Caenorhabditis elegans: one gene and its partner. The protein of the gene in region 2 purifies or fractionates together with the protein of the main gene of each other region. This does not show direct contact. Each region holds a gene or a part of one and is shown on either strand. Other genes may lie near its edges.

Region 1 (6,335 bases), on a different chromosome or scaffold from region 2:
TACAAAAAAAGCTCTTTTCAGGCTTACAAGCTCGTTTTAAGGTATTTTTCATCCTCTTCGAGTTAATTGTGACTGTTATGCTTCTGAATCTACTAATTGCTATGATGACTCGTACTTATGAGAAAATTGCCGAAACTGAGAAAGAATGGAAGCGTCAGGTGATTTTTTTATACTTCAACATTTTATTTTCAAGTTTCACCATTTTACTTTCCAGTGGGCGCAAGTAATTTTAATGTTAGAGCAGTCATCTTCAGCCTCGGAACGCCTCCTATCACTTTATCGTTATACTCGGCCAATACGTTCCGATAAACGAAGAAGAGCATTTGTTGTGAAAGTGAAGTCGAATGTAAGTGAATCTATAAATTTTCCCTAATTTATACTAGAATTTGAAAAAAATTAACTTTATTTCTTATTGTACAAATTTGATGGCAAGACTTGGTGATTCCCGAATCCTATTAAAGGTTGTGTAGTCGAATATTTTTAATGCTTTATTAGACTTGAAATTGTCTGAAAACACCGAATTTCATAATGAAACTTCTTGAAAACTTCTCAAAAAAAAGTTATGACGCGTGAAAAAGTGACCTAAAATTAGTTAAATTTTGAAATTTGACCGACTTGCCTATGTCGCAGCGGCTGGAAACAATTTTTTTTTGAAATTACCGTCAAATTTTGAATAAACCGTGTAATTATCTTGTGTTTTCAACTTTATTTAGGTACTTTAAAGTCGATGGAAGGCAAGATTTGGTTTAAAATAATTTAAAAATCTCGCCGTTATTCTAGCGAATTTTGGGCCATTTTGTGAGCCGTCATAACTTTTTTTAAAAAGAAGTTTTCAAGAAGTTTCATTATGAAATTTGGCATTTCCAGACAATTTTGAGTCTAATAAAGCAATAAAAAAATTCGACTACACCACCTTTAATGTCTTCAGAAATATCCTAACTTGGTTTAAGCACATTTTGTTAGTTTTGTAAAAATTATAGGAAAACATAATTTTTGCTGAAACTGAAAAATTTGTAATCAAACTTTTCCTCTCGAAAAAAACCTCACAAAATTTATATCATTTTTTTAGTTTTCAAATATATTTTTTCAGGACCGCCAGCAACCACAACTCAAATTAATTCCACCGCGTGGAAAACCGTCAATCCGCTTGTCAAACAACAGTTCCATTCATGTCTTACATGTTCTATCAAAACATGCTTCGTAAAAACTAAAAAAATTTCAATTATTCGTTTATTAATTTTTGCCGTAATAAAGTGTTCATAGTCCTCGTCGTTTCATGCCATTTGGCCAGTGACGTATGTGCGCACGAAACGCGCAAGCGAGAAGGGATGCGTCAGCAATGAGTCGGGAAAGGCGTCTCTCATTTTTTGGACCTATTTTTGTGAAAAATGAAGTTATTTTTAGTTTTCCATTTAATATTTAAACAAAAAATGAATAAATTTGATAAATTATGCACTTTTTATAACCGTATTGTTCAATTTTACCCAATTTTTGAAAATTATCTAGTTTTTCTTTGAAAATCTAGTTTTTTCAGAATGCTTAGCCGCAACATTGGAGCTGTTCGCGGAGCCCATAAGGCAGCAACGACAAAACCAGTCGAAAAAGTGGCCAAACTTGGAAATGGATTGACCGTTGGAACTATCGACTCTCACAAACCAATTGCACATTTGGTTTTTTTTTAATTTGTTTCTTCTATCCGAAATCATCTTCAAATTTTAGGTTCTTGCCTTCAGAGCTGGAAGTCGCTACGAAAAAGCCAACCAGGCCGGACTCTCTCATACCATCAGAAATTTCGTCGGCAGAGATACCCAGGAATACTTTGGAAACACAGTTGTATGGACGTTGTCACAGACCGGAGGAGTTCTGGTGAGCAAGAAAAAAAAATCGATAAAGTTGAATCTACTGGGCGTTAGAAAAGAACTAAGAATTTTAATGTAAATTTGAAGAAAGATTGCATAATACATTCACAGTTTTTTTTAGAAAAGATTTGTTAGAAAAAAAATTTGGAATTAAGTATTTTGTATCAAAATTTCAGAAAAAATGTGGTCTAATTAACTTGGAGCAAAATTATCAAATTTTCATGAGCATTCCAAAAAGTCTCACAGACATAGCGAGGGTGATGTTTCAGAAATCCTTCACCTCCCGCGATCTTTTCGGAGTCTCCCTCACAATTCCACGCGAAAGCACTTCCGTCGGACTTTCCGTATTGGGACAAGTCGCTGGTAACCCAGGATTCAAGCCATGGGAAGTCGAGGATGTGCTGCCAACTATGCGCGCTGACAACGGATACAGAACCGCTTACGACTTGGTTGTTGACCAGATTCACAAGGCCGCTTACAGGTTTGGCATTGAGAAGCTTTCGAGAATTCATTGAGCAAAACTTTTTTTTTTAGAAATGGAGGACTTGGAAACTCAATCTATGCACCATGCTCTAAAATTGGATCGATCTGCACATCAACTTTGTCCTCATTTGCAGTAAGTTGCTTATTCTTATCTGCAAGTTTTCAATTTTAAAATTTCAGGAGCAGCACTTCGTCACAGGAAACGGAGTATTGTTTGCCACTAATGCTGTTCACGATGACCTTCTTCTCTATGGAGACAATCACGCCCCAATCAGAAGTGGAAACGCTGCGTCCCCATCTTCAAGTGCTTACAAGGTGAGTTCTTGAAAACGAATATTTATTCAGTGGAGTTGGATAACAAAGTCATAAATAATGTCATGAGAAGTGTCACGCATCTACCAACGTCTCTGGTAGCTTCCAGTTTGTGGTGGAGATGGAGCATCGTATCCTCCTGATGGCTGCTCTGGCTTGGCTGGTGGTGGGACGGAATAAGCTGGCTCAGCTGGATAGCTTGGGGATGGGTAGCTCGGAGATGGGTAGCTTGGGGATGGATAGCTTGGAGATGGATAGCTTGGAGACGGGTAGCTTGGTGATGGATGAGCTGGCTCTTGTGGAGCTGGGGATGGGTATCCAGAATCTGGAGTCTCTGGCTCTCTGACTGGTGGCTGTGAAGCTGGTGCTGGACGAGTTGTTGCTGGTGGAGCGCGGGTGGTTGCTGGTGGAGCACGAGTTGCTGGTGGAGCGCGAGTTGCTGGTGGAGCACGAGTTCCTGGAGCAGCAGTGGATCCACGTGGTGGTGGCTGTGGAGCGGATGTTCCAGATGATGGTGGGGTTCTGTCGTCTTGTCTTTGTGGGCATGGGCAGTAGTTGGCATCTTTTCCTGAAACAATTTAAAATGTTTCATCACTGTTTGTTCAAGAAATTCCTAGTAACAACAACAAAAATTTTACCTGGAGCTCCTGGCTTTCCAGCTTGTCCCGGGGTTCCTGGGAAGGCGTCGTGACCAGCGTTTCCTGGAGTTCCTGGTGCTCCTTGTGGTCCCTCCTCTCCGTCCTTTCCTGGCTCTCCATGTTGTCCTGGAAGTCCTGGCTCTCCCAACCATCCTGGCTCTCCTGGCTGTCCAGCTTGTCCTGGGAAGTATGTGGTTCCTGGCTGTCCGTCTGGTCCGTCGGTCCCATCGTATCCCTTTGGTCCTTGTTCTCCTTGATCTCCTGGGGCTCCCTCCTGTCCTGGGGCTCCATCTTCACCGGATGGTCCGGATTGCCCTTGAAGTCCTGGGAATCCTTCTGGTCCAGAGTCTCCATCAGGCCCTGGTGGTCCAGCTGGTCCCTCTGGGCATTTAATGCATCCTCCTGGAATATCGTGAGTGGTTGCAAGAGAGATACCACTGGCTCCACGTCTTCCTTCATCTCCTGGATGTCCTTCGTCTCCACGCTTTCCTGGGTTTCCTGGTGGTCCTGGTGCTCCTGCTGGGCATCCTTGAGAGTTGCTGTCGCAATTGCACATTCCTGGGTACACAAATCTCTTGTTACGGAGGAGGGATGGCACTGGATTGGCAGATTCTCCTGTTGGAGATTGAAGAATCAGGAGACGATCCCAAGTATCATCGGCAAGAACTTTGAACTCATCAACGCGTCCTTCAACTTCGGAACGAAGGTTGTTAATATCTTGAACAATATGTCCAATTGAGCAAAGAGCGGAGAAAACTCCGAGCAAGCAGACGCCTGCCCCAATATAGCCAAGAGTAGACATCGTTGAGAACAATGTTGTGTATTGCTTTGGTGAACACTTTTTTATACATTTTTCTCCGAAAAAACTCGAAAGCCGGCAAGAACTTGCAAGGGCAAGGGGGAGGCTGGGAAAACTTAGAAACTTAGACACGCAACAGATCGGGAAGAACGCGCCGATAAAAAATTACCGGTCCTAGTCGTATGACAGATATCGCAATGCGACGGATATTCAGTATACCTTTGGCATGAAGAGGAAAAAACTTGCTACTATTGTTTCTTTCCCCGAAAAAATGCAATCACTCATTTTGGATTTGGAAATAGAACAGAAAAACTTTGCAAATTTCAATTTCATTATCCACTCCACTGTTTATGTTATCTATACTATCATTTCTCACCTTTTCTGACACCTAGGGAGGAGAAGTGCGCAGAGATGCCGATTCGAAGTACGCGCATGTGATTGTCGCTGGAGAAGGAGCTGCCGGAAACAACACGAAAGCATTGGCCACCCAAGCAGTTCTCCTCACCGCACTTGGAAATTCATCACCAGTCAAGTAATACAAAAAAGGAATTACAATGTTCACACTTGAAATGATTAATTTCAGATTCAACACCGGAACCACTGGAGTCATCGCAAAAGCCGTCGGACAGAATGGATCGGCCAGCGCATTCCAAGCTGTTCATGCGGATAGTGGACTGGCCGGAGTATACCTTGTCGTTGAAGGAAGCCAGGCTAACCAAGCTGTTTCGAATGTAGTTGGAGCATTGAAGTCTTTGAAGGTCGCTGATATTGAAGGTAAGAAATTTTGTTTTTTAGAGTATAAATTTGATAAAATGGGATCACACTATTTTTGTACATCGATATTTCTGAAATTATAAAAAAAAATAAAAATTAAATAAAGATATGCTTCTAGGATGTTCTACAACATTCTATAATAAAATAGTCCAGAAAGCTGCAGAACTTTCCGGGGCAAAACTTTCAAAATTTTCGGAGAAAACTTTTTTCACGACCTAATACTTGACATTTTTGTATGTAGATTTACAATTTGAGCCGCCTTAGAGAAGGGCTTTTGTATAAATATGATTTTTAGAGGCCTATACTGAAAACCCAAAATATAAATTGTGTTCTTGTGGTAGAGTTGAACTTAACTAAACTAGACTAAAGCTAAACTATGCTAACCTTGTCGTAAAATTTAAGCGAAATGGAATATTTCTAGCACAAAACTAATTGCAGATTTTTAGGTTGATGGTAATTTCAAACTACTGTGACGTTACCGACTTAATCGGTTTTTGTATTAATTTCAACTTTCAGCCGTCAAGAAGCAGGCCTTCAACAACGCCTTGAGAGCCTCTGCTCATTCCGACAACTTTGCCATCGAGAGAGCCTCCCAACTCTTCCAGTCCCAAGACAATTACATTCAACAGATTCCAAATGTGTCGGCTAGTGATGTTGAAGTTGCCGCCAAGAAATTGACTACCAAGTTGTCGTTGGCCAGTTATGGAAATGTCTCAGAAGTCCCATATGTTGATACTCTGTGAGCATCTAGTTAAATTAAATGATTTTACTCCAGTAGACGAACGCATTTTGTTATTTTTTGGTCAATTTGTTTTCCGTCTCATATGACTATTTTTTTGCTGTCAATAAAAGGTACTAGACTTTGAAATTTGTTTGTTCAATGAACAAAAAAATAAAGAAATTATTCACGTAATCAAAAACAGACAGAAAAAAAAAGTAAGCTCGAATAAGCTTATACATATACCGAGGGTGAATAAGTGAATTGTAAATGTGAGAGTTAGGCTTTGAAACGTTCGGGAGAAGCGGGAAAGAATGACAACTTAAACGTGTAAAAACATGAAATTCCGTATAATCTAGTTTGGGGTGTGAGCATTGAAATGTGCAGGATAACAACAACAAAAAGGTGGGTTGAAAGAAATCTGGGAAATTAACAGTTATTAGCCGTGACGAACAGAAGCACCGGGGGCTCTGCACAAATGGGCCCGCGATAGACTACAATTAAATGAGACAAGTTCGAAGGAACAGAGTTGAAGGTGGGAAGAGGAGATGACATGAGCTACTGAGCTACTTTATAAGTGTTAAGGCTGAAATGGAAATGAATGTGTATGGGGAAAATTGGGACAAAAAAAGTACAAAAGTACAATGGGTACCCGGACCAGGTAGCGATTATCATGGAGTTAACTCTTGATGAGTAAAGAAATGGAGATGCGAATTAGACTGGCCACAGCGTGTTGGCGGAGCAGCAAGTGT
Region 2 (3,109 bases):
AGCTATTGAATCTCCAGCGAAAGAGGAGCCGGTTGCTGAATTACTAGAATAAAACGTATTAGATTTTTTACATGCACTATCACATCAATTTTCGATGTTACTATTCATATCCTCAATTGTACGGTGTAACAGTTTGTTTCAAGTACATTTCCATTGTTTTGAATACTTTAAAATACGGTTTGCTTGTTTTAACTAATGAATAAATATTCTCTGGTGTTTATATTATTTTAATTGCGTTCCTGTGGCCCAGTTATTTCCTGTGAAAATATTTGTTTGAGACTTTAAATTTTAATTGAAAGATGAAAATAGAGAGAAGGCGCCTTAAGGCACGCGGGACTGACAAAGTGTGCAAACACCGCCACGCGAAGACGCACACTTTCGGTTCTTTCACAATTTTTTTGCCCGTTCTTCTCAATCAATTCTTGCTTCTTTTTCCTTTTATCGAAGTAATTCTCGTGTGAAAAACAACTCAAAAAATTCGAATTTTTCAGAAACTGGGTAAAAATGCAGTGCGACGATGTGACTTGGAACATTCTCAACAAGGGACAATGCGCCTACAAAGCGTGGACAAAGCCAAAAATGTTCTGTAAAAATGAAATGAATTTGACTGGTTTGTGCAACAGAGCTTCGTGTCCATTGGCTAACTCACAGTATGCAACAGTTCGTGAGGAGAACGGAGTATGTTACTTGTACGCAAAAGTTGTCGAACGATCTCACTATCCACGTCGTTTATGGGAAAAGACAAAGTTGTCAAAGGATATGAACAAAGCATTGGAACAAATCAGTGATCAACTTCTTCATTGGAGTGAATATGTTAGACACAAGTGCAAAGCTCGTCTCATCCGAATTCATCAATATTTGATCAGAATGCGTAAAATGGCAGTCCGTGGAAAGTAAGTTTAAACTTATAGAAACTGAATTTTGCATAGTATTATTTATTTTCAGCCAGAAGAAACTCATTCCAATTGGACGGAAAGTGGAAAGACGTGAGAAACGTCGTGAAGAGAAGGCACTTGTTGCAGCTAAACTTGATCACGCTATTGAGAAAGAGCTCTTAGCCAGACTTAAGTGAGTTGATATATTAGAAAGTGCACATTTTGAATGAAACAACTTTTAGACAAGGAACATATGGCGATGTTTACAACTTCCGTCAAGAGGCATTCGAACAAATGCTGGAAAACACTGAAAAAGAGTTGGAAGTGGAGCAAGAACTCGAGCAGGACGACGCAGACACGGGTGAGACTCAGTTCGTCGCTGACTTTGATAGTTCCGACGATGAGGATCAGGACATGGAAGACGGAGGTGATGGACATTGGTCACCAGGAGATACTGACAGTGAGAACGAGGATAATTGGCAGCCAGAACAAGAACAAGAGGATTCGGATGAAGATGATGAGGAAGGAGGTGATGAGCCAATGGAAATTGAGGAGCCACCAAAGAAGAAGGTAAAGAAGGAGCCGAAGAAAAAGACTGGGAAGAAAGCTGCTGATGGAAAGAAGAAGAAGCTCAAGAAACGAGCTCATGTTGAGATTGAATACGAAGAAGAAACGGAGCCACGACAAAGGGTCAAGGCATAAAACTTCGCATTCCATTTTGTCTGTTATCGTTATTTTTGTTCTTTTCTTTTATTCGCCCTCTTCCAATTGTGTTGTTGTTATTTGCTTTTTAATTTTTAACTCTTTTACCCAAAAATTCAAATGAAAATTGTTACTTTTCCTTGTTTACTAAAAATTAAACTGATTGGTTTTTTTTCCAATTTTATTTTATTGTTCCAATCACATATTTTTGTACTCTATAAAACCCATTGTTTTCAGAGAAGACCGGGAGGAAGCCATGGATTCGCCGGCGTGGATGTTCACGAAGGCGCTGAGCCATAGACAGAAGGTAATTTTTATTTTTGAAAAGCTTTAGTCGTTTGTGAAATTGGTAGCGTTGTTTTTTAATCTGATTGGAGATTTCGTCTGTTTAAAATGTAGCGAATTATTGCATTTTCAGGTCACCCGCCTCTACAAACGCTGTCTTCGCGAAGTTGACAACTGGTATGGAGGAAACAATCTGGAAGTTCGCTTCCAAAAGTGTATTATCCGTGCTCGATTCGACGCTAACGCTGATGAGGTTGACACCCGTAAGAGCCAGATCCTTCTTGCCGACGGATGCCGTCAATTGTGGGAGAAACGTCATTTCAAGCCTTTCCGTTTTGCTCTCGATCCAGGAGGTTCCAGTTATGATCGTGAACGCGAGTCGCCGGATGAGATTGTCGATTCGGATCAATGGACATTGGCTGAACGTGAACAGTTCCCCTACTACTTCAATACTCGTGAGCAGAGAAAGAAGGAGTTGCTGACTCACTGGGCCAAAATCGAAAAAGCTTGGGATGAGGAGATCGCGTCAATTCAAACCCAACTACCAGCTGCTGCCCCAACTGTTTCCAAATAGGCCACTATGAGGAAGTAATGCGATTGATTTTAAGTAGAACGAGCTCACTCGTAGACCGAATAATTTTGTTTTGTTTTTTATGAATTTAACGTCACTGAACAAATAAATATAGCTGTATTTTCATTGTATATTATCATTTATTATTCATCTGTTTAAATGGTTATTGCTGACCATTTGCATATTTTTTCCAATTTATTTAAATTTCTTCTTGTAAGCTTTAAATTAAACATTTTATTACAGAGATCTATCAGAATGGATGGATCTACAGGGTTCACATGTGTAACATGCCGTGTCGTCTTCGAGACAGCCGAGCTGCAGAGAGATCATTACAAAACCGAATGGCATCGGTACAATCTGAAAAGACAAGCTGCTGAGCTTCCAGCTATAGGAATTGAGCTTTTCAATGAGAAAGCTGCATCGTTCAACCCAACAAAGGTAGGGGAAAAGTTTTCTAATGTTCGCTTAATACTTACTCATTATCAATTTTTCAGCCAGTCGTTGCTGCTTCAGTTGAACCATTGTACTGCAAGGCTTGTCGGAAATCAATCAAATCGGAGAATGCAATGACTGATCACGTAGCTAGCAAAAAGCACAAGGAAAATGAGAAGAAGATTGAGGATGATGTGAAGAAAGGTCCAAAGCAACCAAGAAAGAAGCCAGAGAATTTGCCAAA

Evidence for each region.
Region 1: the proteins of C16A3.5 (region 2) and ucr-2.2 fractionate together in Caenorhabditis elegans (co-fractionation; one large-scale study listed by BioGRID). This does not show direct contact.

Annotation. Positions count from the first base shown.
Region 1 is NC_003284.9:15,172,370-15,178,704, forward strand, and holds ucr-2.2 (Peptidase M16 N-terminal domain-containing protein), read left to right. Parts: upstream 1-1,534; 5' UTR 1,535-1,535; coding exon 1,536-1,670; intron 1,671-1,719; coding exon 1,720-1,866; intron 1,867-2,128; coding exon 2,129-2,340; intron 2,341-2,393; coding exon 2,394-2,475; intron 2,476-2,522; coding exon 2,523-2,657; intron 2,658-2,662; exon of another isoform or gene 2,663-2,737; coding exon of another isoform or gene 2,738-3,222; intron 3,223-3,292; coding exon of another isoform or gene 3,293-4,094; exon of another isoform or gene 4,095-4,112; intron 4,113-4,483; coding exon 4,484-4,623; intron 4,624-4,674; coding exon 4,675-4,865; intron 4,866-5,381; coding exon 5,382-5,608; 3' UTR 5,609-5,776; downstream 5,777-6,335. Other genes in the region: ocr-3 (Ion transport domain-containing protein), read left to right, coding at 42-158, 215-346, 1,091-1,204; col-41 (Nematode cuticle collagen N-terminal domain-containing protein), read right to left, coding at 2,738-3,222, 3,293-4,094; pkhm-2 (PH domain-containing protein), read right to left, coding at 6,298-6,335.
Region 2 is NC_003281.10:6,378,958-6,382,066, forward strand, and holds C16A3.5 (NADH dehydrogenase [ubiquinone] 1 beta subcomplex subunit 9), read left to right. Parts: upstream 1-1,814; 5' UTR 1,815-1,833; coding exon 1,834-1,884; intron 1,885-1,995; coding exon 1,996-2,436; 3' UTR 2,437-2,560; downstream 2,561-3,109. Other genes in the region: nfx-1 (Transcriptional repressor NF-X1 homolog), read left to right, coding at 1-52; C16A3.6 (Protein MAK16 homolog), read left to right, coding at 505-893, 946-1,068, 1,118-1,577; znf-622 (C2H2-type domain-containing protein), read left to right, coding at 2,689-2,871, 2,928-3,109.